Linked DNA regions of Cricetulus griseus. The protein of the gene in region 3 purifies or fractionates together with the protein of the main gene of each other region. This does not show direct contact. Links are inferred from orthologs where the notes say so. Each region holds a gene or a part of one and is shown on either strand. Other genes may lie near its edges. The genes, in order: Phf5a, Snrpb2, Sf3a3, Snrpa, Snrpd1, Rbm17 and Snrpd2.

Region 1 (4,202 bases), about 350 Mb from region 3:
ATAATTCTCAGGGAGCAGAATGAGGGGCAGGGATCCAAAGGTATCAGATCACAGGGCGCATGCAGACAAGTGAGATGGCAATTACTGTTTAGCAAGCATCCTCTGGTTCCAAGCTTAAGTCAGAAACAGACTCTAGACATTTCTGAAAGCTCAAGAAAGTGTTGTCTCTTCAGGGACCCTTTAGCTTGAGAACTGTGTGTCCCTCCTCTTTCCATTACACCCAGTACTTCCCAGTTCCTAAATAACAAATGCCCAGGGTGGGGAGTGTCTCCCAGGAACACTTTATAGGCACAGTACCAAAAAGAGAGCACCATCCTTGTATTACAGATTAGGCACTATTACCAAGACCCGAGAAAAAGGAAAGATGGAGGACATAATCCACAGCTGTGGAAGACAGAATACAATCGAGTTCTGGTTGTCTAAAGAATTGGAAAGAGCATTTAGGGCAGGAGAATGTTCAAACCACCAACTGAAATTATGATTTCATACTTAATCAACAACATTCCCCTTTTCCCAAACAATAGTGGATTCAACAGAGTAAACAATACTTTTCAGCTGCTCTAAAACTCCATTCTGGGCCAAGCACCAATCTGGTTCTCTAAGAAGGACAGGGAAAAACAGTAAGCACATAAAAGTATTAGTGGGCCAAAATACTCACTAGTGTGTGTGTGTGTGTGTGGGACCAACTCCAGGCAAGCTGTCCTCTTAATACCACATGCACCCACACAAATAGATGTAACAAAGAAATTCAACCAAACCAAACACAACCAAACTCTGCAGCACTGAGAACAGTGAGGATATACCCAACAGGAATCATTTGTATGTCCTGTGGCATAAACTGCATGCAGGCAGTAAGAAAAGCCTGGAGCTCATCCATGGAGAAAAAGCTCTCAGTTGGGAACTCTAGCTAATGCCTAAATGTGGCTTCCCCAATCAATATCTGCTGGATGTGGTAAGACCCGATTTGAGATTTGATGATAAAGTCAATCAAAACTGAAAATGCAGCTATCATAGATCACCTTCCGCACCACGTAGAACAACCCCCCTCCCTCCTTAAAGCCCTATCTGGCTTCGGGTACTGGTGGTAGGTAGCATCCACATGTGGAGTGCTGAGGAGGCTGGGTGCTCTCTTCATCATGAGCACACACCAAGAAGGTCTTAGAGAAGCATAACATGATGTAATGTGGACACCAGATTTAGTCAGATAGCCTGGGACAGAGTATAAAAGGAGGATGATAATAACCTCTACCTACATGACTAGCTGAACATTGCAGTCTCCATAGACCAGAAGAGATGGACATGGATGGCAAAATGGTCCAAAGAAAAAGGAAGAAAGGCCAGGAGGGAATGCTCAAGTCTACACTCACATCCTTCTCCTGAATGGTGCATTCTTTACAATAGTAGGCATCGGAGACTCCGGGGCCTCCACAGATCACACACCGGCCCTGGTAAGATCCATAGTTACACTCATCACATATGCGAACCAGGGTGCAGGGTCGCACATAGGAGTCACAAATCACACATTTGCCATCACCTGCAAAGGAAGAGGAATGGAGTTATATTCACTAGTGATTACTTCCTAAAGATCTTTATTCTATGGGTGAAATAACCAGTCTCCCTTTGACTGTGACTTCAGGCCTTTTCTCTATCTTGACAGCATCCACCCTATCTTATATCTACCATCTACCTCAGTTTCCTTCAAAATATAAATGGGAAGAGTTTTGACGTGTTAGCTAGGAGCTTTTAAGTCTATGTAGTTATCATCAACAAATTGCATGCCTTCTTGCACAAACATTGGCCTGGGAAGGTTCACACTACTCTGATAGTTCTTACTGTCCAAAAGTATTTTTCCCCCACAACCTAAGTATGAAATATTAAAGTATGCAAGCTAAAGTGGGAGTCTGGTGGGGAGCCTTTGGTTGTAGTCAGAGATTCAGTGTTCTTTGCAGTCTGGCATATCCACTCAATGCTTCTTTAGGGCTCCTCTGGAATAAATGGCTTGTTGGCTCGTCAAAAAACAAAGAAAGAAGGCAATGTGTGAGAGGGTATGTTCCACTCACATTTTTCACACAGTCTTCCGATAGCTGCAAGAAAAAACACAGTTAAAATCAAAATGGTGATTTAGCAAGGAAGTTGTTCCTCAAAGCTGGGATAGAGGATGGGGCAGGTAGCAATGACTACAGTGAGCAGAATAGCTGTCTTATTATCCTTTTTTTTCCCCTCTCCACGCCCCTCCTCCCAACAGATTCCCGTTTTATAGCCTGGAACTTCTTATGTAGTTCAGGTCGGCCTCGAACCCCCAGCAATCTTCTGCCTTCAGCCTCCCAGGCGCTGGGATTACAGTCGTGAACTACCACGCCCGGCCTAAGCCCCTAAGTTTTGCTTTGCACCAGCGCCCTGTCCGGAATCCTCAAAGCAACCTGGGACGGCTTCTCCAGACCTAGCGCAGACGCTGCCCCCAGTTTCAGGCTCCCAGACGCGCGATCCTGCCTTCTTATCACAAGTCACAAACCTGGGCGCACCCCCAGAATACCCAGGGACCGCAAGGCGCGAAACGTGGAGCCCCCAAGGCCAGGCCCTAAAGAGGAAGCGAACCCCCCACTCTCCCGTTTCTAACACCATCCCACTCCAACGGAAGGGAGCGGCGAGCCAACTCACCAACACCAGCCTGCTTGCGGCAGAAAATCAAATCTGGATGGTGTTTAGCCATCACTCGTCCCCAAGCCGGCGGCCGGAAGCTTAGAGAACTTCCGCTCGACCTTTAACCTACGCCGTTCCTACACCCACTTCTCCATCGTGATTGGCCGTCAAGGTGCCCATCAGCTTTTGCCCTTCGTTGCACCAAATCTCGCTAGTTCTCGCGAGTTTTCTCAGCGTGAACTTGCTGGACCCCTAGCAGGTGCATCAAAGACTTTATAATAAAGTTTTTGTTCCCTCCCGATTTGAACGAATAAACTAAGTGTTTTTGTCTTGGATAAAATTCCTACATATGGCTGGTTGGTGGTAGCACACGCCTTTAGTCCCAGCACTCGGGAGGCGGATCTCTGAGTTCGAGGCCAGCCAGACCTGTCTCGCAAAAAACTTTTGTACACATGGTACTTTTTGTGCTCGGGGCTGAGGCCAGGGCCTCACGCATGCTTCCGCAAAATATGTGGTCTGGGGGTTCCCTTTTGAGTCTCAAGGCGTGAAGGATGACCTTGAACTCCTGGCTCCGCTGCCGTCTCCGTCCCCAAGTGCAAAGACTGACAAGCTGGCAGTTTCTTTCTCGCGCTGTGCCCGTCATGGAAGCCCCGCCCACTGCGCTCTCTGGACTCCGGCTCCGAGGAGGAAGGCCCCACCCTCACCGTGACGCGCCGCTTTGGAGGCCACGCCCCTTCCCAAGCACTTCAAAAGCGCCCTGTGGCACGTCACTTTCACGCGACCTCATCTTTGTCAGTGCACAAAATGGCGCCTTACAGCCTCCTGGTGACCCGGCTGCAGGTGAGCGAGCTCCGATGTGTGGGTTCACGGGGGCGGGGAGCTCTGCCTGCGGCGGTAGGCGAGGCCACGCGAGGCGGGCTCAACCTGGGGCTGACTTTTGCGAACCTGTCCCGGTTGCAGGCCCAGCGTCCTTGTCCGCTCCTGCCTTGTCCTAGGTCAAGGTGTCCCTGGCACAGTCAGTTCCCAGGCCCAGTCCCCGTCCCCGCCCAGCGGGAAGCTTGAGTCTAAGCATCCGCAGTGTGATAAAGGATGAGGGCACCCCTCATTTCCTGAGGGCCGAATTGCCCGCTCCCCCCAGTGTGGTTTTCTGTTCTCAAGGTGATGACAAGGTTACTGGGGGGCGCGGTGGTTGTGGGTTCCTCTAAGCCAGGTGCTTGAAGCCCTCACTTCCCATTAACAGCAGAGATTTGCCAGCCGTTTGTATGTGTGGTTCTCGGGCCTGGAGTCTGCAGAAGCTATACCCAATACTACCTTTTGAGGACACCTGGGGTCATAGATGCAAGAAGGGTAGAGTATTCTGAGCACCAGTATAGTCCATAGTCATGATAACAGTGGTTCCTCTCTGCACCAGATGTCAAGACTGTTCACTAATATAACCTGATTTACATATTTCTGGCAACATAGATGTCAGATGATTTTTTTCCAACTCAATAGATAGTAAAACTGCAAAAAAGTAGATGAAAGTTCTGACTTTCACGGTGTCACGATAGTGCTATAGCTTG
Region 2 (3,500 bases), on a different chromosome or scaffold from region 3:
GCCTGCCCATCATTTTCAAATTCTACAAATGCAATGTCATGCCTCCCAGGTACCAAGCGAACTTCCTTGAAACCAGGGAACCTAGAAAAAACAAAAGCAATAAACACAGGCAAATGTAGAATAAATTTGTTGAACAACTTGCTATTGGTCTAGGAAAACTAATTACATTCAATCAAGAATCCCAAGTAGGATGGAGGCACCTGACATAAAATTGTACCATCAAGGAAATGCAAGAGTCCACACTAATTCCACAACTGTCAGTATGTCAAAGGTTTCCTGTTTTACCCATTTATTAGAATAACTCCAACAGAGAAAATCTATCCTTTTATTCGTTAAGCTTAGAGCTTAACTTAGGCTCCAATCCATGATTAGTACCAGACTAAATCAATGACCCTACAGAGAACTACTGCTGTGGGGTGACAAATGAACTCAGTCCATAGAAGCACTATTTGTCCTGTTAGAAGGCTACTACAAACAGATCTGTTTAGTAAAGAACTTACTGATTGAACAGCATGGATAACATCATCTCATTCGTCTCTTCTGGTAAATTATTAAGGAATAGGATGTAGTTTGGAGGATAATCAGGGACCTATTAGAAACAAAAGGCAAAATTAGCTTGTGAATATAAACTGTGCTGTGAAGTATTTAGCTGTGAGAAAAAATGAAAACTTCTTCAGAGAACTACATTGCAGCCTATATGCGCCTGTGAAATCTTAACACACTAAAACAAAAGCTAAAAACAATGACGCCAGAGATACAGATTAAAAACCTAACAATAGGGAAGCCAACATTCAAGTTAGGATACCCCAAGTATGGAAGGTTATGATTCTGTGAAAACAGTATTTATAGGTGAAGCACCAGTGCTAACTGGGGAATTCTGTGACCTGGAATACAGAATTCAAAGTCTAAAAACTGGAAAAGGCAGCAACATAGACCTCCTCAGCTCATCATTCTAAACTGAAACATTACTATTGACAATCACACCCTGCTGGCATCTACTCTGTGTGTTCCTGTGCATGCATGTACACAGTAAATGGCATGTACTTTGTCTACTAATATAAAACAAACATAACTGAGCAGAATATTAGACATTAAGTCACATGCTTGGCACCCCATCCTGAGTCTACAGGGAGTGTATAAAAGACTTACATATAAGAAGAAACTCTGTCTACTTGCTAATTACATGGACAGAAAAGATCAAGTGTAAAAAATAATTATTGAACAGCTCAAGATAGAGAATTAAGTGCTGGTATTTGTAAATTGACTACAAGTTCTGAAAGAGTTCAAGGAATAGAAAGAAAGATCATAAAAGATCAAGTATGGTGACAACTATCTGTAATCCCAGCACTCAGGAGGCTGAGACAAGAGGATTGAGAGGTTTGAGAGCAGAATCAAGACTGTCTCAGAGGGGCTAAGGGGTATTGGACAGCTCAGTGGTATAGCATTTGCCTAGCATAGGCTAGGCCCAGGAGTCAGTCACCAACACCAAAGGAGAGGAAAAAATCAAACGCACACAACTGTAATACTGAGAAGTTGTGGACACGTCAGACTGTATAATTTAGACTCTACTGAAAGCAGAAAACTTAAACACCATTGCCCACTATGAATCTGAGAAAGACAGGGCAGTGTCAGACACCTGGGGTGGAAACAGCCCCTCCCAAGGTCCTCTGACCACATGTCTGTGAAGTGCTGACAAGTGCCCGACCCAAACCAAAAGCCCTTTCTCAGGCCTTACACCCCCTGCCTTTTTGATCTTGTCCCCAATTCATGGAAAACAGAAATCAGGCCTGGTTTTGTTTTCTTCATCTTAGAGTAAGTTTCTTAAAGTGACAGGCAATTATGTCTTGTGAATGGATTTACTTGCTTTTGCAGACATGAACACTAATACTGCCATAATTTTTATGATCTTAAGGTAAGCACCCCATGAAGAAAAACATTACCTGAGGATTTGGTGCTGCGTTTCCTTGAGTATTAGCCGAATTTGGTGTTCCCTACAAAAAAGAAATTGGCATTAAGAAATGACTGAATTTCAGTCATGGTAAAAAGCAACTGCAATTTATAACATAAATCAACATTAAATTCACTGTAAAAGATACCTTATTCCATTTTACCTTAAGATGTCTTAAATTATTTACTTAGCTTGTAAATTGAAATGTATGTCTCTCAACTCTATAGACCACATCATAAACCTTAACATTTGAATTTTTATTTATTTATTTTGAGACAGGATTTTACTATGTAGTTCAGGTATCCTGGAATTCACTATTTAGACCAGGCTACCTGCCTCTGCCTCCCCAGTGCTGGGACTAAAGGTGTGTACCACCACACCTGGCTTTAACATTAAACTTTAAATGATGGAGAGACCAAGTGTGCTGTGTGGCTGAGGCAGGAGGGTCACAAGGGTGAACAGACTCCTCTAGGTTACAAGAGCTGAGATAGAGAAATAGAGATAAAGACAGAGAGAGTCTTACTTAAAAAAAAAAAAAAAAAAAAACCATAAGCATTATACAATCAAAATCACAGAATCAAAATGATTTAAATAATTAACTCAGAGGTAACTACTTTTTTGAATAATTTCACTTCTACTGGATTTCAATTTTTGCCTCTTGAATTGTTCAGAGGCTCTGAGTAAGATACTCATGATGAAGAGACTGCATATGATTTATAGGAAGAATTTAAGAAAAATACCAATAAGTAGGGTTTTAGATAAAGATGTCAAAAACAATATGTAAATCAGATTAGTACTGTTTATTGCAAATCTCTAAGTGTAAAGGCTGGTATTATAAATTGTTCCTTAAATATAAACCTAGAATTTTAGAATTTTGTTATCCCAGCTTCTTAAAACTTCATTCATCACTCCTCCATCTCTACAACTGGATTCCAGGAGTTCGGCTCAGTCAAGACCATGCTGGGAAAACCCACAGGAACAGTTGACCTTAGCTAGTGGGAATTCATGAACCTCAGTTTGACAGCTAGGGAACCAATATAGGACCAAACCAGGCCCCCTGAATGTGGGTGTCAGGTAGGAGGACTAGGCAGTCTATGGGGCCCCTGACAGTGGAACCAGGATGTATCCCTAGTGCACAAATGGACTTTGGGAGCCCATTCTCCATGGGGGGAAAGTCTCTTAGCCTAGACGCACAGGGGAGGGCCTAGGCCCTACCCCAAATGACTTGACAGATTTTTGATGGTCCCTCATGAAAGGCTTCACCCTCCCTGAGGAGTGGATGGGGGATGGGATGGGGGGGTCAATGGGGGGAATGGGAAGATGGGAGGCAGAGCAAACTTGGACTGATATGTAAAATAAGATTGTTCTAATTTAAATAAAATTTATACATATATGCATATGTATGTATGTATTTATGTATGTATGTATATATACACATATATAAAACTTCACCTTTAGCAGGGTGGTGGTGGTGGTGAAAGCATTTAATCCCAGCACTGGAGAGGCAGAAATCTCTGTGAGTTTGAGGTCAGTCTGGGCTACAGAGCCAGTT
Region 3 (4,023 bases):
CAATATTCTACCAACTGAGCTAATTTTTGTACACAGATCTAATCTCCACATTACCCCGTACATTGCTTTAAAATTAGCACTCAGAAGGCTGAGGCAGGTGGATCATGAGTTCAAGGCCAGCTGCACATGGGAGCAAGAGCAGCCTGATCTACATAGTGAGTTCCAGAACAGCTATAGCTATGTAGAGAGACCCTGTCTCAACAACAAACACCCCCCCACACACAAAAAAAAACCCACCACTACCCACCACCACCAAAAAAAAAAAAAAAAAATCACAAAACCAGACAAACATAAATGCCAGTCGGTCAGTCGGTGGTGGGTACTCCTTTAGTCTCAGCATTGGGGAGGGCAGAGGCAGGAAGATGTCTGAGTTCTAGGCCAGCCTGGTCTACAGAGTAAGTTCCAGAACAGCCAGGGCTACAAGGAGAAACCCTGTCTTGAAAAACAAAGAAACAAAGAAAGAAAGGGCTGGACAGATGGCTCAATAGTTAAGGAAGAAAAACAACAAGAAAAACAAAAACAAAACAAAGACACCTGTCCATAACTTTTTGATTTAAATGATATCAGATATATTAGACCTGGACCCAGGTCTGATTCCCAGCCCCCAAATGGTACTCAAAATCCAGTCCTAGAGGATACGACTTCCTCTCCTGGCCTCCTCAGGCATAGCACACACACTGTCTATAGGTATCATGCAGGCAAAACACCCATACAGACAAAATAAAAATAAAGGCTTAAAAAAAAAAAAAGATAGAGAGAGAAGATAGGTTCTAGCTATATAGCCCAGGATGGCTTCAAATTTCTCAGAAAGAAACATTAAATCATACTTACTTTGTGCCTCTTCACTTGGATTTTCTCGAGCCTTCAGGAGCTCCTCAAATTCCACTGACATTGGCACACAGATCTGGGGGAAGGAGAAAGCGCAGGTGGATCAGTGTCTCATGCATGCATAGAACTGGACTTCTGATACCTGATTTGCCCTGTGGTGTTCAGGAGCTTACTACTGTTCTCCTCTTGCTTTGCTTAGTATAACTGGAAGGCAGTCATTACCACAAAATCTGGGCTCTTAAGGAAGGATTGCATTGGAAGAGATAGTCTAGGAAAGTTTTTTTTTTTTTTTTTTTTGGAGACAGGTTTTCTCTGTGTAGCTTTGGAGCCTGTCCTGGAACTCACTCTGCAAACCAGGCTGGCCTCGAACTCACAGAGATCCACCTGCCTCTGCCTCCTGATCCCTGAGATTAAAGGCTTGCACCACCACCGCCTAGCAGAAAAGATATATGATAAAGGAGTTGGTGCTGGACATGAATCCTGAAGGTGTTCATTAACTCTGGAGTGAGCAGAGTGATGTTGTGTTGGTAGAAGATTTCAAGGCAGAATTAGGAGCACAGTGTATTGGGTGGGGGAGAATTCTTATGAAAGATAAAAAGGAGAAAGTAAGTTTGGATAAGGAGTCTAGACTATGATGCAGACAAAATCTGAATGAAGCCAATAAAGAACTCTGGAGCAAAAATTAATCATTTCTCATCAGAAAGAAAAAAGTAGGCCCTCGTGCCTTCACTGTGTTCCTTTACTGGCTGAGAGATGTCAGGAACGATGTCAGCTAACTATGCTCACTGCAGTTAAGTGGCAAGCCCTTTCTTGGAGTGACATCTGAATGGCATACCCCCATTTTCCTTGCACCTTTTCTTATTTTAGGGTAGGTTTGGGGAAATACTTCAGGAGACCATACCTCATTTGGGTGTTTCCGATGAAATTCCTTTATCTGCTTGAGTCTGTTATAGAATTCAGCAAACTCATTGGGTCCTGAAATAGCATTGAGTTCCTCTTTTCGAAGTCTGCAAAATAATGACAAACCCGAAGAGTATAAAGCACAAAGCCAATCCTCTCACCATGCCGCCTCAGAAGCTCTACCTGCTGAGGGGATGTATGTGACTGTCACTTACCCATCTTTATCATCATACAAATCCCTCAAGTTCCCACTGACCTCCATGTATCTCTGAAAGGCAAACACAAATCCATCAGAATGAAGCAATTTGTACAACGACAGGGCTAAATAAACAACGAAGGCTTTCTTGGCCAAGCCCAAGGAAACCTCATGAGATACGAGCTCTTGAAAGTTCCTCTAGACAGCCTGAGTGGGGAGTGGTGGCACACACCGTTAATGCCAGCATGTGGAGGCAGAGACAGGACTTACGTCTAAGAACCTGAGACGGGGTATTCTCAGCACCTACAAGCAGTCCTCACGCTGAGCCTCCGCACCTTCCCTGCCAGCACTTTCCCCGCCCAGCCCAACCTAAAAGGAAGCGGACAGCGGGGCACTCACATCTTGCATGGCCCGCGTGCGGTGATCAGAATTGATCTGGTCCCGGAGCTGGAGAAAGGCAAACAGATGCTGTTAGTTTGAGTTCGGGGGTTGGAAAGGCCACCCGAAGGACGAGTTTATTGGTTTAGGTCTCAGGAGCTGAAGCAGAGGGACTGCTGGGGCCTCGGAGGATGTTACCGAGGCCAGAGCGCAGAGGCAGCCCAGGAGGAAGGCGAAGATGGGGCGCGGGGAGGGTCTAAGGCCGAAGAAAGCGCTCAGGGGCTCCGGATGCGTTCCCGACCACGGTCCACTCACCGTGGACTTCTTAGTGAGCATCTCTTTGGCCATGACATCCATGAGCCGTTCTTTCTCCTCATGATAGCGCCGTTGCTGCTCCAAAATTGTTTCCATTTTCCCTTCGCCGCGGCGCTTCAATTCAGACGACCAACACGGCCGGAAGCAGCGCCTGCCGCCTTGTGCGCCTCCGTCTCTCTCTCAACGCGCTGCATCCGGCTGCACCAAAGTTCCGTGAGTTCCGGAAGTGCCTTGGGGGACCTCAAAAAATGAACACCACACGGAGAGCAAGTCCTTGCTGTCGGTACCACTGCCCCCCGCTGGCTGGAGGTGTGGAGGAGCGATGCTCAGCGACTGAATGCCTGCAAAAATGCTGTAGGCGGAGGGTGAGAGGCAACTGCTGCCTGGGGCTCTCTGTGGCCAGCTGGGCCGGCAAGACTCACTGATGTGGACCGGGATTGAGAAGTTGAAGGATACAAGAAGGGAAAGAGGAACTGGAATCTCTAGTTTCAGGGTGTGACCGCTGGTGTTTTCTCCTTGTCTGGACTTTAGTATCTGTCAGTAAAGTGAGGAGGTGGTTTTGTTCTTAACTCCTATGTGGAAATAACCTTTATCAGCAGAGGGCTCTTTAAGTAAAATGTGGTATATTCAAGCAATGAAATGCTTGCTATTCAGTACAGGGTTACCTCTGATTCTCCGTATCCTTAATTCTTCTGCCTCTGCCTACCATGTGCTGGCTGTACGGCTTAGAAAATGAGATCTAGGCTGCCTTTCTTTAAAGGAGGAGGAAGAGGAAGAAGCAAAAAAGATTAACAGCGCTCCAGAGGCAGAGGCAGACAGATCTCTGTGAGTTCTAAGCCAGCCTGGTCTACATAGTGAGTTACAGAACAGCCAGGGCTACATGGAGAGACTGGGACTCAGGAAACAAACACACAGATTAGGACTTGAGATCTGAATCAGTATAAAGAGCTTGTCCAGCATGCACTGAGAACAGAGTTGGAGCCAAGTAGAGTGGCTCACACCTGTAATTCTAATATTTGGGAGACTGAGGCAGGAAGGGAGCAAGTTCAAGCTCAGCCTGCCCTTTGTAGTAAGAGAGCATCTCAAAACAATAAACAAACACCAGGTGGTGGTGGTAAAAGCCCTTAATTCTGCCACTAGGGAGGCAGAGGCAAGTGGATCTCTGAGTTGGAGACCAGTCTGGACTACAGAGCAAGTTCCAGGACAGCCAGAGCTACACAGAGAAACCCTGTCTTGAAAAACCAGGAACAAAACAAAACAAAAAAAACAACAGAAACAGTGTTCACATGAAATGTTTGGATCAGCAAATCCATGGAGACAAAGGGAAGATGAGAGAAGGGTTGGTTGGGATAAGAAGTGACTTAAAAAGAGCAGAAGGAATGAATCCTTTTGAGGGTGGCAATATT
Region 4 (4,268 bases), on a different chromosome or scaffold from region 3:
GCCATCATGCTCAGTGTCTTGATCATTTTGTGTCCCCACAGCCCCAGATTAAGGAACACTGAAAGTAAAGGACCAAGCAAGAAAAGTAGCATCCTCACGGAACACTACAGGCCACACCCACCCAGCTTCCTACAGCCTCCATAGTCAAGATGCTCACCATGGGCTTGTCGTAGAAGGGGAAACCCTGCATGGAACGCAGGGCATTCGTGGCGCTGCTGACCTCCTTGAAGATGACAAAGGCCTGGCCCCTCATCTTCAGGCTCCGAGACACCAGGATATCCAGGATCTGGCCAAACTGGGAGAAGATGGCATACAGGGACTTCTTGAGCTCTGCATTCAGGGAAAACAAGACACACTGTAACAAAAGGCCTGGGCACTGTGTCCTGGGACCTGCACTAACTATCCTTGGATGATGAACAGTTCAAACAAGGGGCCACTGCCAAGTGACAAATTACCCAGAATGCTACAGCACTACAACCCACATTCATACACACACACACACACACACACAATAAATACATAAAAATACTTGCTTCTGTTTACTATTTGTATGTGTGCTAGAATTCAGCCTTTGTAGAAAAGTAAACATTCTACTCCAGGACCTTACTTCCAGGCAAGAACGGAATTATTTGGTGTGGGGTTTTGTTTAAAATTGTACAACCTTGGGACTGGAGAGATGGCTCAGAGGTTAAGAGCACCGACCGCTCTTCCAGAGGTCCTGAGTTCAATTCCCAGCAACCACATGGTGGCTCACAACCATCCGTTATGAGATCTGGTGCCCTCTTCTGGTGTGCAGACATACACAGAAGCAGAATGTTGTATACACAATAAACAAATAAAAATTGTACAACCTTTAAATATATAGTTGTTTTGAGACAAGGTTTTTGGTTTTTTTTTTTATTTTAATTAGGAAGAAAATTACATGTCAATCCCAGGTCCCTTTCTCCCCCCCCCCCTCCTCCCCTGACACCCTCCACGCCCCCCCCCATCCGGAACTAACTCTGTAGACCAGGCCAACCTCAAACTCAGAGATCTGCCTGCCTCTGCCTCCCAAGTGGTGGGATTAAAGGCGTGAGCCAGCCCAAAATATTTTTATTTTATGTGCGTGGGTTATTTTGCCTGCAGATGCTAGAAGAGGATGTCATATGCCCTGGAACTGGAGTTACACATTATAAACCTCCCTTGAGTGCTAGGAATCAAACTCAGGTCTTCTGGAAGAGCAGGCAGTACTCTTAACCACTGAGCCATCTCACCAGGCCAAGTAGGTTTCTTAGTTGCTGAGGTTCAGAACCCAGAGCCTTACCCATGCTAGGCAAGACTACTTGTATTCCTCAGACCTTTTGGAGTCAGGGTCTTGCTATGTACCCTGGGCTGGTCTGAAGTCAAGATTCTCCTGTCTCAGTCTCCTGAGTACTGGGATTACAGGCCTACACCACCACACCCAAAGAAACTGTCTTTGGTATCTTTTTCACTCATTGTGATCATGCAGCCATCTGGGAGTTACTCTGGGAGTCCCTTTCCCTAAGTAACAGAATTACAGCCATCTGCCATTCAAGCAGTTCAAGAATTTGCTTAACAGAACCGCACACTTGTGTCCCAACCATTTTTTTCTTGGTATTTGATCACGGGCAAGTACTACCACCCAAATTCCAATTTCTTAATCTTGAGAGGCTTGTTGAGAATTAAATATCTCCAAGACTACAGAACATTGTTACATAGCATTCATTACCCGTCACTTCTATACGTTCTTTGCATCGTAACTCATCACCAAGACCAACGCCCAGAGGCCAGTGGCCAAGAGACAGTCTCATGATAGCAGACTGCGCTGGGCTTGAGGGAGAGAAAGATCCCAAAGGGCTTCCCAGAAAGGAAGGGCCGGTGAGCTAAAACCTTGAAGATTATCGACAGTGTGCAGGTTAAAGAGCAGAGTGTAAAGTGGTTAAGGGTGTATTGAGAACCAAGGGCTCAGTAGGTACAAAAGGCCAAAGTTAACTCTTAAAGGACTCAATGGCAAGGCTGAGAAAGGAAAGTGGGCGCTAGAGGTGGAAGGGGTCAGCTCATGCGAGATCACCTAGAGTTCCGGGCTATCCCGGAGGACTTACCATCCTTCTTGATCTTCTCATTGAGGTTGTTGATATAAATAGTGTGGTTGGGACGGGTCTCAGGAACTGCCATGGTGTCAGATGCTCAGAAACGGCTTAAAGGGAGAAAAAGAGGCGACTTCAGCTCTCTAACGCTTTCCAAAACTCTCTGTTCAGGGGGCTGACGGGCTCTGCTCAGGGATCCTTCCAGGAGGAAGTTGGGTGAGACCGGAATTGGGGAAGAATGGCACAGCTTGGCAACAAAGCCCGCGTAGGACTCCGCTTCTCCAGCCCGCGTGCTGGGGGGGGGGAGGACTACGAATCCCAGAATGCTCTGCGAGCCTGTACCCAGCGGCGATCCCCATTGGTCCACGCGCTCGAACGGCGTCCAAGGAGGAAAAAAAAAAAAAAAAAAGGAACCCGGATGTGGGAGCCAGTTAAGACAGCAGGGACCGATTTGGGACACCTTCGTCTCTCCAAGAGGGGCCTCCGGAAGCGACGCGGCCGAAGGCCCGACGCCAAGTGCTCCGCCCGCCTCCCCAGCGCCCGCGGGCGTCTCCACCGCGGGAATTCACCACCTGGACCGCCGCGCCTGCCACGCCACTCCGCTCGGACACACAGCTTCCCGTCCCCGGCCGCGAGACGCTGACGGCGCGCGAACTCGGCAGGCGGCGACCGCCCCGAGTGAGAGCCTCTTCCCCGGCCTCAGCGCCCGCCCGCGAAAGGGACACGCGGCTTCCCGCCTCAGCACTAGTCCCCGCCCCCTCCCCAGGTGAGCAGACCAATCAAAGGAGGCGACGAGCTCTGGGCCAATCGGGACCTCGCTAGCGCGCCAGCGCAGGCTGCCCTCTCCGAAGCCACGCCTCTTCCCCTTCCGCCAGTACCGGGGGGGGGGGGGGTCACGTGGCCGCCGGGCCGCGTCGGGAGAGCCTGGCCGGGTCAAGGCCGCTCGTTTCCCTCCGCGGGGAGCGTGTACAAGTTCCTAAGTTCCCGCTCCTTAGGCGACCCTTGACCGCTGTGCCTGCTGTCAACTCTGACCGCTGCCCACCGCTAGGCTGCTTTCCCAGCCGCGTGCCCTTTTAACCTCATGACCTCTAAGCTCCTAAGATCGACCCTAAGGTTGCAGACTCGAGCCGGAGATGTGAGATGAGGCGGGTTACCCCACGCCTTACCCCCGATCTGAGCGCCCTGAGATGTGAGATGAGGCGGGTTACCCCACGCCTTACCCCCGATCTCAGCCCCCTGATTACAGAGATGTGAGATGAGGCCGGTTACCCCACGCCTTACTCCCCCCCCCCCCGATCTGAGCCCCCTGATTACGGAAATGAAGAAAACTAGCTAGCTCTAGTCCCTCCCAATGTCGCTCCATCCCCATGGCACAGCCCGCACCTTGGGGGAGCCTTCTTCTTCGTCATTTGATTCAGCCCAGTTTCTGTTCCCACGGTTTGAAATACCCACCCAGGTTCTCCCAGACCAACTGGTCAGGCACCGTATTCTGCAATTCAACTCTAATTTTTTTTTTAAACTCTTTGTAATTTTTAATACAGGTTTCTATGTGCGGGCCACATGTGAATACCACATCCAGTTGCTCTAAAAACTGAAGTCTCCATCCTTGAGAGATTTGAGAGGATCCCCCTTCTCACCCTCACATCAGCTCTTCCTGAAGACCCGACATGACGTCTTTCCCCTTAAAGCCCACAGTCCCCCCAGTAATCCCCGAACCCCAAGACGCCAGCATTCCACCTCCTTTACCCCCAAGTACCCTGGACTTAGCTTCGCCATCCCCTTCTGTCCCGCCGCCGCCGCCGCCTCCACCCCCACCCCCACCCTTGGCTGTGGAGGTTGTTTCCCCTCATGTCTACGGCCTGGAGAAGAGCCGGCTCCTGAAGGAGGCCTTGGAGAAGGCTGGCCCAGTCCCCAAAGGCAGAGAAGACGTAAAGAGGCTCCTGATGCTGCACAAGGACCGGTAGGGTTTGCAAACCCCCAGCACCCCAGGACTCATCCAACCACCTGTCTCCAAATCACCCCGCCTACCCCATCTCCCAGGGTTCCCATTTCCTTGATCTCAAGCAGCCAGGTGCCTTAAGCCTCCTACCTAGCTCTTCCCTGCTTGGCCTCTAGCAATAGAGAGAGCAGCTCCTGCTCATTCTTGGTTCTAAGCCAGTGATAGTGCCTCTGCCCTTCCAG
Region 5 (4,164 bases), about 200 Mb from region 3:
GTTCTGACTTCCTAGTCTGTAATTCACAATACCACAATTACATGCAGTGAAATAATTCTACAGCATCACCCATGCTTTATTTTAGCCAAATGGCCATGGAAAGATAATCCTACAATAGCATCTAACAACACTTCATATTCAGATTTTCTAGTCTATCTTTCTACAATATCCTTTGTAAACTACTACAGCAAACTGCACAAGTAATATTATCTGTTCCATTCTCACCACTATTCTACTATGAAGGAAAGCAGCAGGCCCTTTCTATAGGTGACACTGGACTACAACAAACACTCAGGGGATGGAGAGGTGGCTCAGAGGTTAAGAGCACTGGTTGCTTTTCCAGAGGTTCTGAGTTCAATTTCCAGCAACCACATGGTGGCTCACAATCATCTATAATGGGATCTGGTGCCTTCTTCTGACCTGCGGTTGGGAGTACACCGTGCACATAATAATAATAATAATAATAATAATAATAATAATAATAATAATAATAATAATAATAATAAAAAACCACCAGACAGGTCCAGCGTTTCAGCAACTTTTAAAGGAACCCACCTTAAAAAATTATGTTGCCGGGGGCTGGAGAGATGGCTCAGCAGTTAAGAGCACTGACTGTTCTTCCAGAGGTTCTGAGTTCAATTCCCAGCAACCACATGGTGGCTCACAACCACCTTGAATGAGATCTGGTGCCTCTGCTGGCATTCGGGCAGAAGACTGTATACATAATAAATAAATAAAAATCTTTAAAAAAAATTATATTGCCAAGTATGGGGGTGAAGATCTTTAATCCAGCACTCAGGAAGCAGAAATTCTTTCAGAAACAAGGGAGTGGGTGAGGAGATAACAGTCTGCTAAAAAAAATTCCCTTAAGACATGTAGGCACCGATCTGTAATCTCAGTTATTCAGTAGGCTGCAGTAGGATGATCCCAAATCTGAAGTCAGCCTGGGATATGGAGTGACTTCTAGACAACCTGGTGACATCCTGTCTCAATTTTTCAGTGAATCCTTCATTTTGTGAATTCTCTTACTTATTATTACCATTGCTGTTGTTGTTTGAGAAGTTTCTCTGTGTAGCCCTGGCTGGGTTCATATCAGTAACAGAGTGAGCACTTGCCTAGGACGCTAGCTGGAAGTCGAGGTAACACCCCAGGTACCACCACCCAAAAGCAAAGCTGTCGTAACAGAATCTTTAAATGGGAAAAACCTAAGTTACTGCAAACACATGATAGTTCACATCAGGCAGCAGGGAAACAGCAAGAGTATACTTTAAATTGTGAGACTTTCTACCTAATGTTACAGTCCAAATACAAAAGAACTGGAGCTATAGTCAAAGGTAGAGCGATTATTGGAAGCTCTCTAGGCGCTATCCCCAGAACAGGTGGAATTTTTTTTTTAACCTTATATGCTTTCTCTTCCAACTCCCCCTGAACAGAGTGTTTGTCATTTCAAACAGACCAGATGTTACCTGTTCTGCCTTCAGCATTAAACAGAAAAGAAAGAAATCTTGTAGCCCGACGGTGATGGGTCATGCCTTTAATCCCAACACTCCGGAGACAGAGGCAGTGTTATGATAAATGTTCGTGGGGGACCTTTGTGGATTCCATGGCAGGCAAGGATGACCCAGTCGAAAGGACATCATGCCAGGCAGTAGGACTTAAGTGAGAAGATTATTAGAAAAAAAGGGGGGTTAGAGACACAGAGACAGAGAGAGGACAGGAAAGACAAGAAAAGTCCTGTCTGCCCCAGGGGAACAGCAGGAAAGAGAGAGAGGGAAAAAAAAAAGCGGGTAAGAGAGCATAAGTGGACAGAGACCTTTCTTTTAAAGGGATGCTTTGCATCTGGGCTGACCAGGGTACTACTGTGTGAGTGCAGGGGCAGGCCAGCATAATGACTGAATCCTTTTCAGGCAGGCCTCTGAGTTCGAGGCCAGCATGGCGAGGTGCAGGACAGCCAGGGCTGTTACACAGAGAAACCTTGTCTCGAAAAACCACAAAGAAAAATCTCGTACCACTACTTTTAACAGGTGACTATAAGCAGTCCTTGACTCAACAAGAAACTAAATATTTCTAACTGGCTTAGGCATTAAACCCTGTTTCGGGCTCTGCCTAATGCCTATTTGGTTTGGAAGTATTCATACCAGCAAACAAAGCTCCACTAACCGACACAATCTGCAATCAGGCGAAATTAACTTAACTTCTGCCCCATCCTGGGACACTGTCGTGAGTCGAAAGCCAACATTAACCAGTTACATACAACCGATCCAAAATAAAGGAGAACTTTATCTAAAACGTCTAGCAGATCGGCGTCGTTGTTTGCAGATAAAACCATGCTGCTTTGGAGTTCTCGTCCGTGCAAGCAGCCCGACTGGCCAGGGAAAGCGGCCTCGGCTCCGTTCAAGCCGCAGGAAACGAGGCGAGCAGAAACCGCTCGGCTCCCCCATTCTTGGAAGACGCGCAGGGCCGGGGCGCGCCGGCTCCTCGCCGGCAGCAACGAGAAGGGCGCGGCGGGCCCGGACGCGGGGGCCGTTAGCAGGCCGCGCGCACGCGGCTTTCCCGCCTCCCTGAGGGCGCAGAGGCCCGGCTTCCTGAGCCCGCCCAAACCCTGTCCCCGCCGCCTTCGGCCCGCCCGGAGAGCCTCCTCACCTCACGAGCTTCATCCTAGCGGCGCAGCCTCCCTCTGGTCCTACTGGACACGGAATTCGAGCTCCAAAGACTCACCGACTAGGCGTATGAATGGCCGGAAGAGCGCACGGAGGCCTGCGGATCCGCGGTGGAAACGCGGAAGCCGCGCTGCCTTCCGGCCACCGGGACAACCACAGCGGCCCCTAGCGACGGGAGGAGTGCTTTGCGCCGTCTGAGCGCGGCGTGGCTGGTGGAAGACATCTGCAGGAGGATTCACCTTAAAACTATTTATAATGGCCTGGCGCTTTCACAGTTGGAAGGAAGAGAAGATCTGAGAGAACCCCTCCAAGACTTCTTTAATCCTTGGGGCCCACATGTTGGAAGCAGAGAACCGGCCCGACAAGTTTCTCCTAGTTGGTTTGACAACTAAGCTGAGCCAATCAGATTTTTGTATATAATAGTTTTCCTTTGGGGACTTGTAATAACCCCAGAGCTACTGAGAACCTTTTTAAAAACAGGAAAGCCATTCTCAGGACAGTTTTAAATAAGACCTTCATTATATAGTAAGTTCTTCGACTTAAAAAGTTATGTGGATATTTCAAATGAAGTTAAATAAAACAATTCAACTCCTTATTTGCAATAACCACATCGTAACTACTCAAAATCTATATGTATCATTGATTACAGTGCAGATAATTTCCACTATCCCAAGAAGATTGGATAATATTAGTTTATTATATTTGATTCTTACATGGAGCATGAATTCTAATTGTTCTTAATAAAGCCTCAGACTCGGCTGACAGGGGGTAAAAACTGAAGGGTCAGAGAAGCAGAACAGCCAGCCACTAGAGTTCTTACCTCTACCAATGTTCAGACCAAAGGGGCCATCCTGTCCTCAGACTGACTGCCTCCTCAGACTCCTGTCTCCTCCGGCTTCTCTCTGCCCAGCCACACCACTCCTGTCTCTACCTCCCTAGTGCTGGGATTAAAGTATTGGGATTAAATGTGTGAGCCACCACCATCTGGCTCTTTTTTCTCTTTTAAACTGGATCAATCTTATGTATCCCGGGGTATCCCAGATCTCACAGAGCTATGCTTGCCTCTGCCTCCTGAGTGCTGGGATTAAAGATGTGTGCCATCACTGCCTGGCATCTGTGGCTAACTAGTGTGGCCAGCTCTGCACTCTGATCTGCAGGCAAGCTTTGTTAGATCACAAACAAAATATCACCACACTTACAATTATTTATTTACTTATACTGAACTCAGGAGAACATAGTGTCTGAAAGCAAAAAAAAAAAAAATCTGTTTATTGCACTCTCCAACATCCGGTATCTCCAGTCTTATGCTTTAATATGATGTGCTCCTCCTCCCCCTCCCCCCTCTTCCTCCTCCTCCTCCTCTTCTTCTTCTTCCTCTTCTTCTTCTTCTCCTTCACAAAATAGTCCAGTCCCGATGTGTGGGAACTGGTCCCAAGGCCTATGAAACCAAAGAGGGAGGCAGGCAAGCCCAGAATTGCAGTGTGCAGTTTATGGGTGACTTACA
Region 6 (3,500 bases), on a different chromosome or scaffold from region 3:
GGTTTTTTAGAGCCCATAAATAAATAAACTTTCTCAAGTTTATTTGGGGACAATGGGACAGAACAATTACAAATTCTTAAAAACAAGTAAACTCGGGGATGGAGAGATGGCTCAGATGTTAAGAGCACTGACTGCTCTTCCAGAGGTCCTGAGTTCAATTCCCAGCAACCATATGGTGGCTCACAACCATCCGTTATGAGATCTGGTGCCTTCTTCTGGTGTGCAGATATACATGGAAGCAGAATGTTGTATACATAATAAATAAATAAAATCTTAAAAAAAAATAGGGAGGTGTGAAGTAAGTAACCTTTACTTGTAGGCTAAATACATTAAAAAAAAAAAAAACCAAACAAGTAAACTCCTGAAGATTGAAACCATAAACCCACCCCTAGAGACAACACAGAAATTCATTCACATTCTAATGTACATTAACAAGATATCTGTTCCCAAATCAAGACGACACTTACTTTTCTCTTTCTTCTATTTCCTTCTGTCTTTCCAGCTCCCGCTGCCTCTGTCGCTCCTCTCTCTGGCGCTTCACTACTTTCTCATAATCATTAGGAAACATAGGATCATATTCATCAGCTAAGGGGATCAGAACTTCCCCTGCAGAAAACCCACTGGGAACAGGGTCCTGAGGAAGAAAAATATTCAAGTGAGTACCATCTTCATATTCTGCAGGGTTATCATAGAATCAAGGTCAAAGGATGATGAAAGAGACCTTCGTGATCATCTAAGGATCTTATATTTCCTAGATGAGTAAACAATTCATAGCAAACTACATCTCACCAGGTGGCAGCATATTGTGGCAATCAAGCAAAAGCTTAATTATTCCTAGAAAAGCACTGTAGAACTTAAAACTGAAACAATTCATGAACTTAATCATTGTTTAAGTGAGTTTTAAACTACCACAGTCATCATTCGAATGACACCTGCAGGAAAATACATGTAAAAGTGGATTATCATTTTCCAGACAGTGTCTCACAGAGCCACAAACTAGGCACAGAGCCAAAGGTGAGCCTGGACAACTCCCAATCCCCCTGCCTCTCTGGAGCCCTGTCCTGTTAAAGACATGCAGCACCATGTTCAAGTTTTTGTTTTGTTTTGTTTTTCAAGACAGGCTTTCTTTGTGTAGCCTTGGCTATCCTGAAACTCGCTCTGTAGACCAGGCTTGATTGCTATGACTGCACTGCCTGCTCTTTCAGAGAACCTAAGTTTGATTCCCATCACCCACATGGTTTTCACAACTGTCTGTAATTCCAGTCCTAGGGAATGTGCCCCCACAGGCAACAGGTACACATGTAGTGCAGGCAAAAACCTCATACATATACAAGTATTTCTAAATAACCACATTGTTCTGTATTTTTGGCAAAGATGGACACTCACTGATATATTAAGAAAAGGAAATTAGAGAACAAAAGGTAGAACTCATCCAAGAAAGATATTCTAAAATTATGTAACTTTTTTTTTTTTTTTTTTTTTTTTTTTCGAGACAGGGTTTCTCTGTGTAGCTTTGGAGCCTATCCCGGCACTTGCTCTGGAGACCAGGCTGGCCTCGAACTCACAGAGATCTGCCCGCCTCTGCCTCCCGAGTGCTGGGATTAAAGGTGCTGGAATTAAAGGCATGTGTCACCAACACCCGGCTTAAAATTATGTAACTTTTAAAGCCTGGAGAGTATGATTAAGAAGATACCTGCTTTTCTTTTTTGCCCATCTTTCACACCTGTTGTTTTCAAAATCAACTATTTTAAGGAATAAAGGTTTTGATGGTAGCAAAGTAAAACCTGAGCTGGAAATGAAACTCTCTTTCAACGGCCTATTGGGGAGACTCTTGTGTGGGGCTGGAGATGGCTCAGTGGTTAGGAGTGCTTATTCTCTATCAGAGGACCAGAATTTGGTTCTCAGCACCCACACCAGAGTGTTTACTGGGCCTAACTCCAGCCCCAAGAGATCTAATGTCCCCTTCTGGCCTCCAAGGGTACACACACACACACACACACACACAGAGATACACAGACACTGACACACACATACCACACACACAGATAAAAAAAAAAAGTCAATCTTAAAAAATAGAGGAAAATATGTGTAAAGCAAACAGGAAATGCATTAAAGCCACAGATATGTGCATGTGCAGGCTTACCTTCAGCCCAGCTGCTACATGAGGTGGTGTGTCTACAATCTGCCGGTCATCTGAGGAGCCTCCTCGCTTTAGGTCGATGACTGGGGCAAGGACTGTACTTTGTTTTGTCCGCTGACTCTGACATCAGAAACAAGAAAAACATACCAATGTTCCAAATTAAAATTCATGCTACTTGCAACACAGACACTTTTTCTACTCTCTATAACCAGCCTCTGCCTGTGATAAAACCATCATTTTAAACAGTAACAGTCTTTAGTATAGTGTCCTTAAGTGCTTTCTGAGGAAGGGTCCTAAGTAACCCAGGCTGGCCTCCAGTGCCCCACATAGCTGGTGATGAACTTGGACTCCTGATCCACCTCCCTCCACATTGCTGAGTGCTGGTATATATCACCAGACCCAGTTTATACAGTGCTGGGGATTTAACACAGGACTTACTGAAAACTGGGCAAACATGCTACCAAGTGAGTTATATCTCCATTCTTTTTGGTCATTTTAAAAGCAGATTTCCTCCACTTTTCTATAAAGTTTACAGTAAATGTGACCACCTTCTGAATAGCCTTAAACTTGCAGGGATCCACCTCTCTGCCTTCCAAGGCAAGCTTCTACTCTACTTCTTTTAGTATAACCTTACTCAACCAATTAAAATTACTTATATACTTACTTGGGTGTGTATGCATGTGTGTTTACATGCAAATACCACAGTGACTATATGGAGGTCAGAGGGACTGGAGGGACAAGTCTGTCCTTGTACCATAGGGTTCTACTTAAACTCTGGTCATCAGGCTGGACTCACTGAGCCATCTCACCATCCTCAAAGTGCATGTTAAACAGCTAGTCTTTGTTTTGTTTTTTTTAAACAAAGTTTAAAATGTACTTTTGATCCGTGTCTCAATCTTTAGCAGCCCCTCTTACCTATCACCATTACCATCTTTGTTTTTCCCCTGGGATATCGTTCTTATGAATGCTTATTCTAGATCCTCTAGCTAACTTACAATAACACAGCTAACTCTGTGTCTGGCATTTCTAGAAGCTGGTTAGACTCAGGGTAAAGCTTGTAGGCAAGAATGTCTCACAGTGAGCTGGTGAACTACATCAAGTTCTCAGGTTGCTAAGATGCCATGGTTGGTCAAATGGAATGATGGTGATCACGAAAAGTTGTGGTACAAACTTTCATTCTTATTAGGGAGTCTAAGCTTTAACAGTGCTTTAAGCAAACAACATGTCATACAAATGCAAAATCACAACATAAACCCCAAAGTTTGCATAACAGGGGTTATGATAATCATTTATTTGCTTATTTTAAATTTAACAGGTATTTCCAAAAATGAAATACAAATGAAACCATAGCTTCATCTTT
Region 7 (4,047 bases), on a different chromosome or scaffold from region 3:
AGCAGGGGACGCAGGAAAGTGCCCCAGAGACGCTGCGGATCCAGCTGCCCTACCACCGTCCGTAGCTTGGCTTCCGGAAGGCTTCCAATCAGCGGGACCTTGGTGGGGAAGAGAAGAATGAAGACAAAACCCCCCATCCCCACCCTCTCCTGGGCGCCGCTGCCCCCTGGGAGCCCTGACTCTTCTTGGTGGTGCAGCAAAGACTTGGAGTTCACATGCATACACCCTAGAGCGGGAGGGCGTCTTCAAGGCAGATCTGGCCCCTGCTACTATTAGAGCCCTGACGGGAACCTTGCAAACAGATGTCTTGGGGCGCGGAGCTCAGATCTGCCCGCGTTGCTAGGCTGACCGCCTGCATCTCCAGGACGGCGAGGCAGGGGCGTGCGCTTGCTTGAGTGATGGAGAAAGAGATGTCACCCGCTCGGCACGGGAAACGGAGGAGGGACCGGGGCCCCAGGCAGGCCTCACCCGCAGATCCCGGCTGCGTGACAGCTCCTGAACCTCGGGGTGCCAGCCGTTCCAGACCATGAAGAGCGCCAAGCCCAGGGCGAGCGCCAAGAGCAGCAGGGGCAGGAGCTGCACTCGCGGCAGCAGGCGGCGCTTGGAAAGCGAGGGCGGCTGCATCGCGCCGCGATCCCCGAGCCGCTGCCGGGGCCGCCCGCGGCTCCCGGGACTCATGGCAGCAGCGGGGCCCCGAAGCCGGTCGTCCCAGACTGAGGTTTGAGTCCAGGCCAGGCTCCGCCCCTCCCCCCTATCGCTTACGCAAGCCAATAGGGAAGCAGAGCGGCGGCGGCATCGTCGCGCAGACGGCCGCGATTGGCTCCTTCTTCTCCAGAAGGCGGTGCGCAGACCCGAGGGCCCGCCCCCCACGCAAGAGGCGCAGCCAATGAGTGGCGGCTGACCGTGCGGAAGCCGCGCCCGCCGCCCTCAGGTGTCCATCAAGGAGAAACGGGCGGCGCCCATCCCTGAAGCAAGGAGGCGATTGGCTCGCTCGAGGCCACGCCCCCCCAGGAGGAGGCGGGCGCCGCGCGCTTGGAAACGGAGCTGTGTGTCGTGTCCCCGCCTCCTCCCCGCCCCCGTTCTTCTTCCACCCAGACGGGGAGTTAATTCGAGCCAGGCCCGGCGGCTCCCCCTTTTTGTTTAGTCGCGAGCGGGGGGGTCCCCCTATTGTGATCCTCACTGACATGGAATCCTCCCTCCAGGCATTTCCTACGGCAGAGAGCCGCCGCCGGGTCGCTATGGCAACGTGACACGCCCACGCCGCTGGGGCGGGTTGCGCAGGCGCCGACGGAAGTGATCCCAGAGGAGGGAGGCGGAAGTCCCGCCTTCCGCTCGCTCTACTCCGGAGGCTACACGGCAACGCGGCGGAGGCGGGAGTGAGCTGCGATCGAAACCTCCACCATGTGAGGCCGGGCTGGGCTCCCGCGGGGACGCGAAGGTGGAGGGAGGGACGCGGGCGGCTTAGCAGGTGGACTGTCGGCTTGGGGTGCTCGTAGCGGGGGCAGAGGTTCCTCCTGAGGTGTTAGGGGACGGGCGTGGGGCCTGGAAGGACGGGTCTGGAGTTCCGGAGCCGGACAGCTTCTTCTTTCTTTTCTTTCTTTCTTTCTTTCTTTTTCTTTTTTTTTAAAGTTTATTTATTTATTCATCATGTAGACAGTGCGAGCCAGAAGAGGGCACCAGGTCCCATTATAGATGGTTGTGAGCCACCCTGTGGGTGCTGGGAATTGAACTCAGGACCCCTGGAAAAGCAGTCAGTGCTCTAACCTCTGAGCCATCTCTCCAGCCCCCCTCATTTTTATTTTTTAAAGATTTATTTATTTACTTACCATGTATACAGTGCGTGCCAGAAGAAGGCACCAGATCTGGCACCAGATCTCATTACGGATGGTTGTGAGCCACCATGTGGTTGCTGGCATTTGAACTCAGGACCTCTGGAAGAGCAGTCAGTGCTCTTAACCCCTAAGCCACCTCTCCAGCCCCCCTCATTTTTATTTTTAAAAGATTTACTTATTTATTTACTTACCATGTATACAGTGTGTGCCAGAAGAAAGCACCAGATCCCATTACAGATGGTTGTAAATCACCATGTGGTTATATTTATTTATTAACCATGTATACACTGCGTGCCAGAAGAGAGCACCAGGTCTCATTATAGATGGTTGTGAGCCACCATGTGGTTGCTGGGAATTGAACTCAGGACCTCTGGAAGAGCAGCCAGTGCTCTTAACCCCTGAGCCATCTCTCCAGCCCCGACAGCATAACGGGCGTGGGACCCTGCTCTGTACTGAGTCTTGTGAAAAGAGCTGTAAGAGGAAAGCTGAGCCTGGTGGCACATGCCCAAGAGAGGCTGAGTGAGGCAGGAGGATGGTGAATTCGCGCCCAGCCTTGGGCTGCACATGGAGACCGTTTCCAAAAGTAATAGTAATTTTAAATGGGAGCCGTAAATGGATAAAGGTCTCGGCAGGGGAAGGGAGTTCTATTAAAAAATAGTGAAAGGCTCTCCAAAAAAAACAAACAAGCAAAAATCATAATGAGGGACTTAACCAGGATAAGGTAGAAAACAGACAGGGGGGCTTTTTCAATCTGCCTGGAGACTCTCAGAGTAGCAAGCTACTGCCATGGTTTGATGTGTTTATTCACCAAGCAGGTGTTACACAGACTGGTTGTTAAGTTAGACACACGGTGTATAAAAGGTCCGTGCCACCGAGAGAAAGTTTTTCTCACTGGGGCTGGTAAAAGGAATGGGGTAGGAAGACCAGAGAACGTGTTAGATGATGGAGAGTGCGGATGAAGAAATTTGAGTAGCTACCACAAAAAAAAAAAAAAAAAAAAAAAGACTGAAAATGCAACACTGGGCTGGAGTTATAGCTCAGTGGGCAGAGTACATGGCTACCTTGGGTTCTGGGTATAGTGGCAGCATGCCTGTAATCCCAGAGGTCTGGAGGCAGAGATGGATAGTCTGAGTCTCAGGTCAGCCAGGGTTACACAGTAAGACATTGTTGTGGGGATGGCGGGCACCAGGAGAAAGGTAACGGAAGATTAGGCCATGGATAGAAATAGCCAGGTTCTGGATATGTCGTAGAGGCAGATGACAAGATGTGAGGGTAGATTTCCTTTAAGAGAGTGCCGGGCTTGATGTTGAACTCCTGTAATCCCAGAACTTGGGAGGTGGAGTCAGGAGAATTGAGAATTGAAGGTCGTCCTTAGTTATATAGCAAGTTCAAGGCTAACCTGGGCTATAGGAGATCCTGTCACCAAAACAGAAATCAATTAAACAGTAGAGTTCTAGCTTAGAGAACCCGCTGAATAGAGTTGCCATCAGTGAAGACGTGGGGAATGCGTGGGTGGGAGAGGTTTTGGTGGTTAGACAGCTGGAACGGGCTAAATAGACAATGTCTCTCCCACCTCTGAAAAGGACATTTGGGGACCAGGTTGAGGAGACACTGGACAGTGCCTTTGATCACTCACACTTCCAAGCTCACCCATCTCACCCGTGGTTTTTCTATTCAGGAGTCTCCTCAATAAACCCAAGAGTGAGATGACCCCAGAAGAGCTGCAGAAGCGGGAAGAGGAGGAATTCAACACTGGTCCCCTCTCGGTGCTCACACAGTCGGTCAAGAACAACACACAAGTGCTCATTAACTGTCGAAACAACAAAAAGCTCCTGGGACGGGTGAAGGCCTTTGATAGGTGAGCACTGAGTCTGAGGGGCCTGAAGGAAAGGTTATTCCAGAAGCATAATGATAGTAAGTTGGTGACAAACTCCTGTAATCTCAGCACTCAGAGGGATCACCATGATCATGTTAGAGGCCAGCCTCCAAAATAAAAAATCAGAAAGTGTGGGGTGCTCTTTTTGTTGTTTTTTTGTTTTATTTTGTTTTCCAAGACAGGGTTTCTCTGGCTTTGGAGGCTGTCCTGGAACTAGGTCTTGTAGACCAGGCTGGTCTCGAACTCACAGAGATCCACCTGCCTCTGCCTCCTGAGGGCTAAGATTAAAGGTGTGAGCCACCAACGCCCGGCTAAAATTTGTCTTATCTGTCTATCCCA

What was found.
Region 1: the proteins of Sf3a3 (region 3) and Phf5a purify together in Homo sapiens (affinity purification with mass spectrometry; 3 studies listed by BioGRID and IntAct, with this or other methods). This does not show direct contact. The link is inferred for Cricetulus griseus from reciprocal best matches to the Homo sapiens genes SF3A3 and PHF5A.
Region 2: the proteins of Sf3a3 (region 3) and Snrpb2 purify together in Homo sapiens (affinity purification with mass spectrometry; 6 studies listed by BioGRID and IntAct, with this or other methods). This does not show direct contact. The link is inferred for Cricetulus griseus from reciprocal best matches to the Homo sapiens genes SF3A3 and SNRPB2.
Region 4: the proteins of Sf3a3 (region 3) and Snrpa fractionate together in Homo sapiens (co-fractionation; 4 studies listed by BioGRID and IntAct, with this or other methods). This does not show direct contact. The link is inferred for Cricetulus griseus from reciprocal best matches to the Homo sapiens genes SF3A3 and SNRPA.
Region 5: the proteins of Sf3a3 (region 3) and Snrpd1 fractionate together in Homo sapiens (co-fractionation; 3 studies listed by BioGRID and IntAct, with this or other methods). This does not show direct contact. The link is inferred for Cricetulus griseus from reciprocal best matches to the Homo sapiens genes SF3A3 and SNRPD1.
Region 6: the proteins of Sf3a3 (region 3) and Rbm17 purify together in Homo sapiens (affinity purification with mass spectrometry; 4 studies listed by BioGRID and IntAct, counting the BioPlex papers as one, with this or other methods). This does not show direct contact. The link is inferred for Cricetulus griseus from reciprocal best matches to the Homo sapiens genes SF3A3 and RBM17.
Region 7: the proteins of Sf3a3 (region 3) and Snrpd2 fractionate together in Homo sapiens (co-fractionation; 3 studies listed by BioGRID and IntAct, with this or other methods). This does not show direct contact. The link is inferred for Cricetulus griseus from reciprocal best matches to the Homo sapiens genes SF3A3 and SNRPD2.

What each region holds. Positions count from the first base shown.
Region 1 is NC_048595.1:379,006,418-379,010,619, forward strand, and holds the start of Phf5a (PHD finger-like domain-containing protein 5A), read right to left. Parts: upstream 2,801-4,202; 5' UTR 2,711-2,800; coding exon 2,659-2,710; intron 2,085-2,658; coding exon 2,061-2,084; intron 1,535-2,060; coding exon 1,368-1,534; intron 1-1,367. Other genes in the region: Aco2 (aconitate hydratase, mitochondrial), read left to right, coding at 3,445-3,480.
Region 2 is NC_048599.1:35,869,397-35,872,896, forward strand, and holds part of Snrpb2 (U2 small nuclear ribonucleoprotein B''), read right to left. Parts: intron 1,992-3,500; coding exon 1,941-1,991; intron 590-1,940; coding exon 501-589; intron 82-500; coding exon 1-81. UniProt on the Homo sapiens protein: Involved in pre-mRNA splicing as component of the spliceosome. Associated with sn-RNP U2, where it contributes to the binding of stem loop IV of U2 snRNA.
Region 3 is NC_048595.1:28,350,622-28,354,644, forward strand, and holds the start of Sf3a3 (splicing factor 3A subunit 3), read right to left. Parts: upstream 2,801-4,023; 5' UTR 2,714-2,800; coding exon 2,618-2,713; intron 2,372-2,617; coding exon 2,324-2,371; intron 1,997-2,323; coding exon 1,944-1,996; intron 1,836-1,943; coding exon 1,730-1,835; intron 905-1,729; coding exon 832-904; intron 1-831. UniProt on the Homo sapiens protein: Component of the 17S U2 SnRNP complex of the spliceosome, a large ribonucleoprotein complex that removes introns from transcribed pre-mRNAs.
Region 4 is NC_048602.1:8,724,525-8,728,792, reverse strand, and holds the start of Snrpa (U1 small nuclear ribonucleoprotein A), read right to left. Parts: upstream 2,801-4,268; 5' UTR 2,660-2,800; intron 2,198-2,659; 5' UTR 2,176-2,197; coding exon 2,103-2,175; intron 331-2,102; coding exon 158-330; intron 1-157. Other genes in the region: CUNH19orf54 (UPF0692 protein C19orf54 homolog), read left to right, coding at 3,755-4,047. UniProt on the Homo sapiens protein: Component of the spliceosomal U1 snRNP, which is essential for recognition of the pre-mRNA 5' splice-site and the subsequent assembly of the spliceosome. U1 snRNP is the first snRNP to interact with pre-mRNA.
Region 5 is NC_048595.1:225,869,094-225,873,257, forward strand, and holds the start of Snrpd1 (small nuclear ribonucleoprotein Sm D1), read right to left. Parts: upstream 2,801-4,164; 5' UTR 2,658-2,800; coding exon 2,644-2,657; intron 1-2,643. UniProt on the Homo sapiens protein: Plays a role in pre-mRNA splicing as a core component of the spliceosomal U1, U2, U4 and U5 small nuclear ribonucleoproteins (snRNPs), the building blocks of the spliceosome.
Region 6 is NC_048596.1:228,368,788-228,372,287, forward strand, and holds part of Rbm17 (splicing factor 45), read right to left. Parts: intron 2,261-3,500; coding exon 2,144-2,260; intron 635-2,143; coding exon 468-634; intron 1-467. UniProt on the Homo sapiens protein: Splice factor that binds to the single-stranded 3'AG at the exon/intron border and promotes its utilization in the second catalytic step. Involved in the regulation of alternative splicing and the utilization of cryptic splice sites.
Region 7 is NC_048602.1:28,213,612-28,217,658, reverse strand, and holds the start of Snrpd2 (small nuclear ribonucleoprotein Sm D2), read left to right. Parts: upstream 1-1,247; 5' UTR 1,248-1,401; coding exon 1,402-1,403; intron 1,404-3,510; coding exon 3,511-3,690; intron 3,691-4,047. Other genes in the region: Qpctl (glutaminyl-peptide cyclotransferase-like protein), read right to left, coding at 1-98, 469-678. UniProt on the Homo sapiens protein: Plays a role in pre-mRNA splicing as a core component of the spliceosomal U1, U2, U4 and U5 small nuclear ribonucleoproteins (snRNPs), the building blocks of the spliceosome.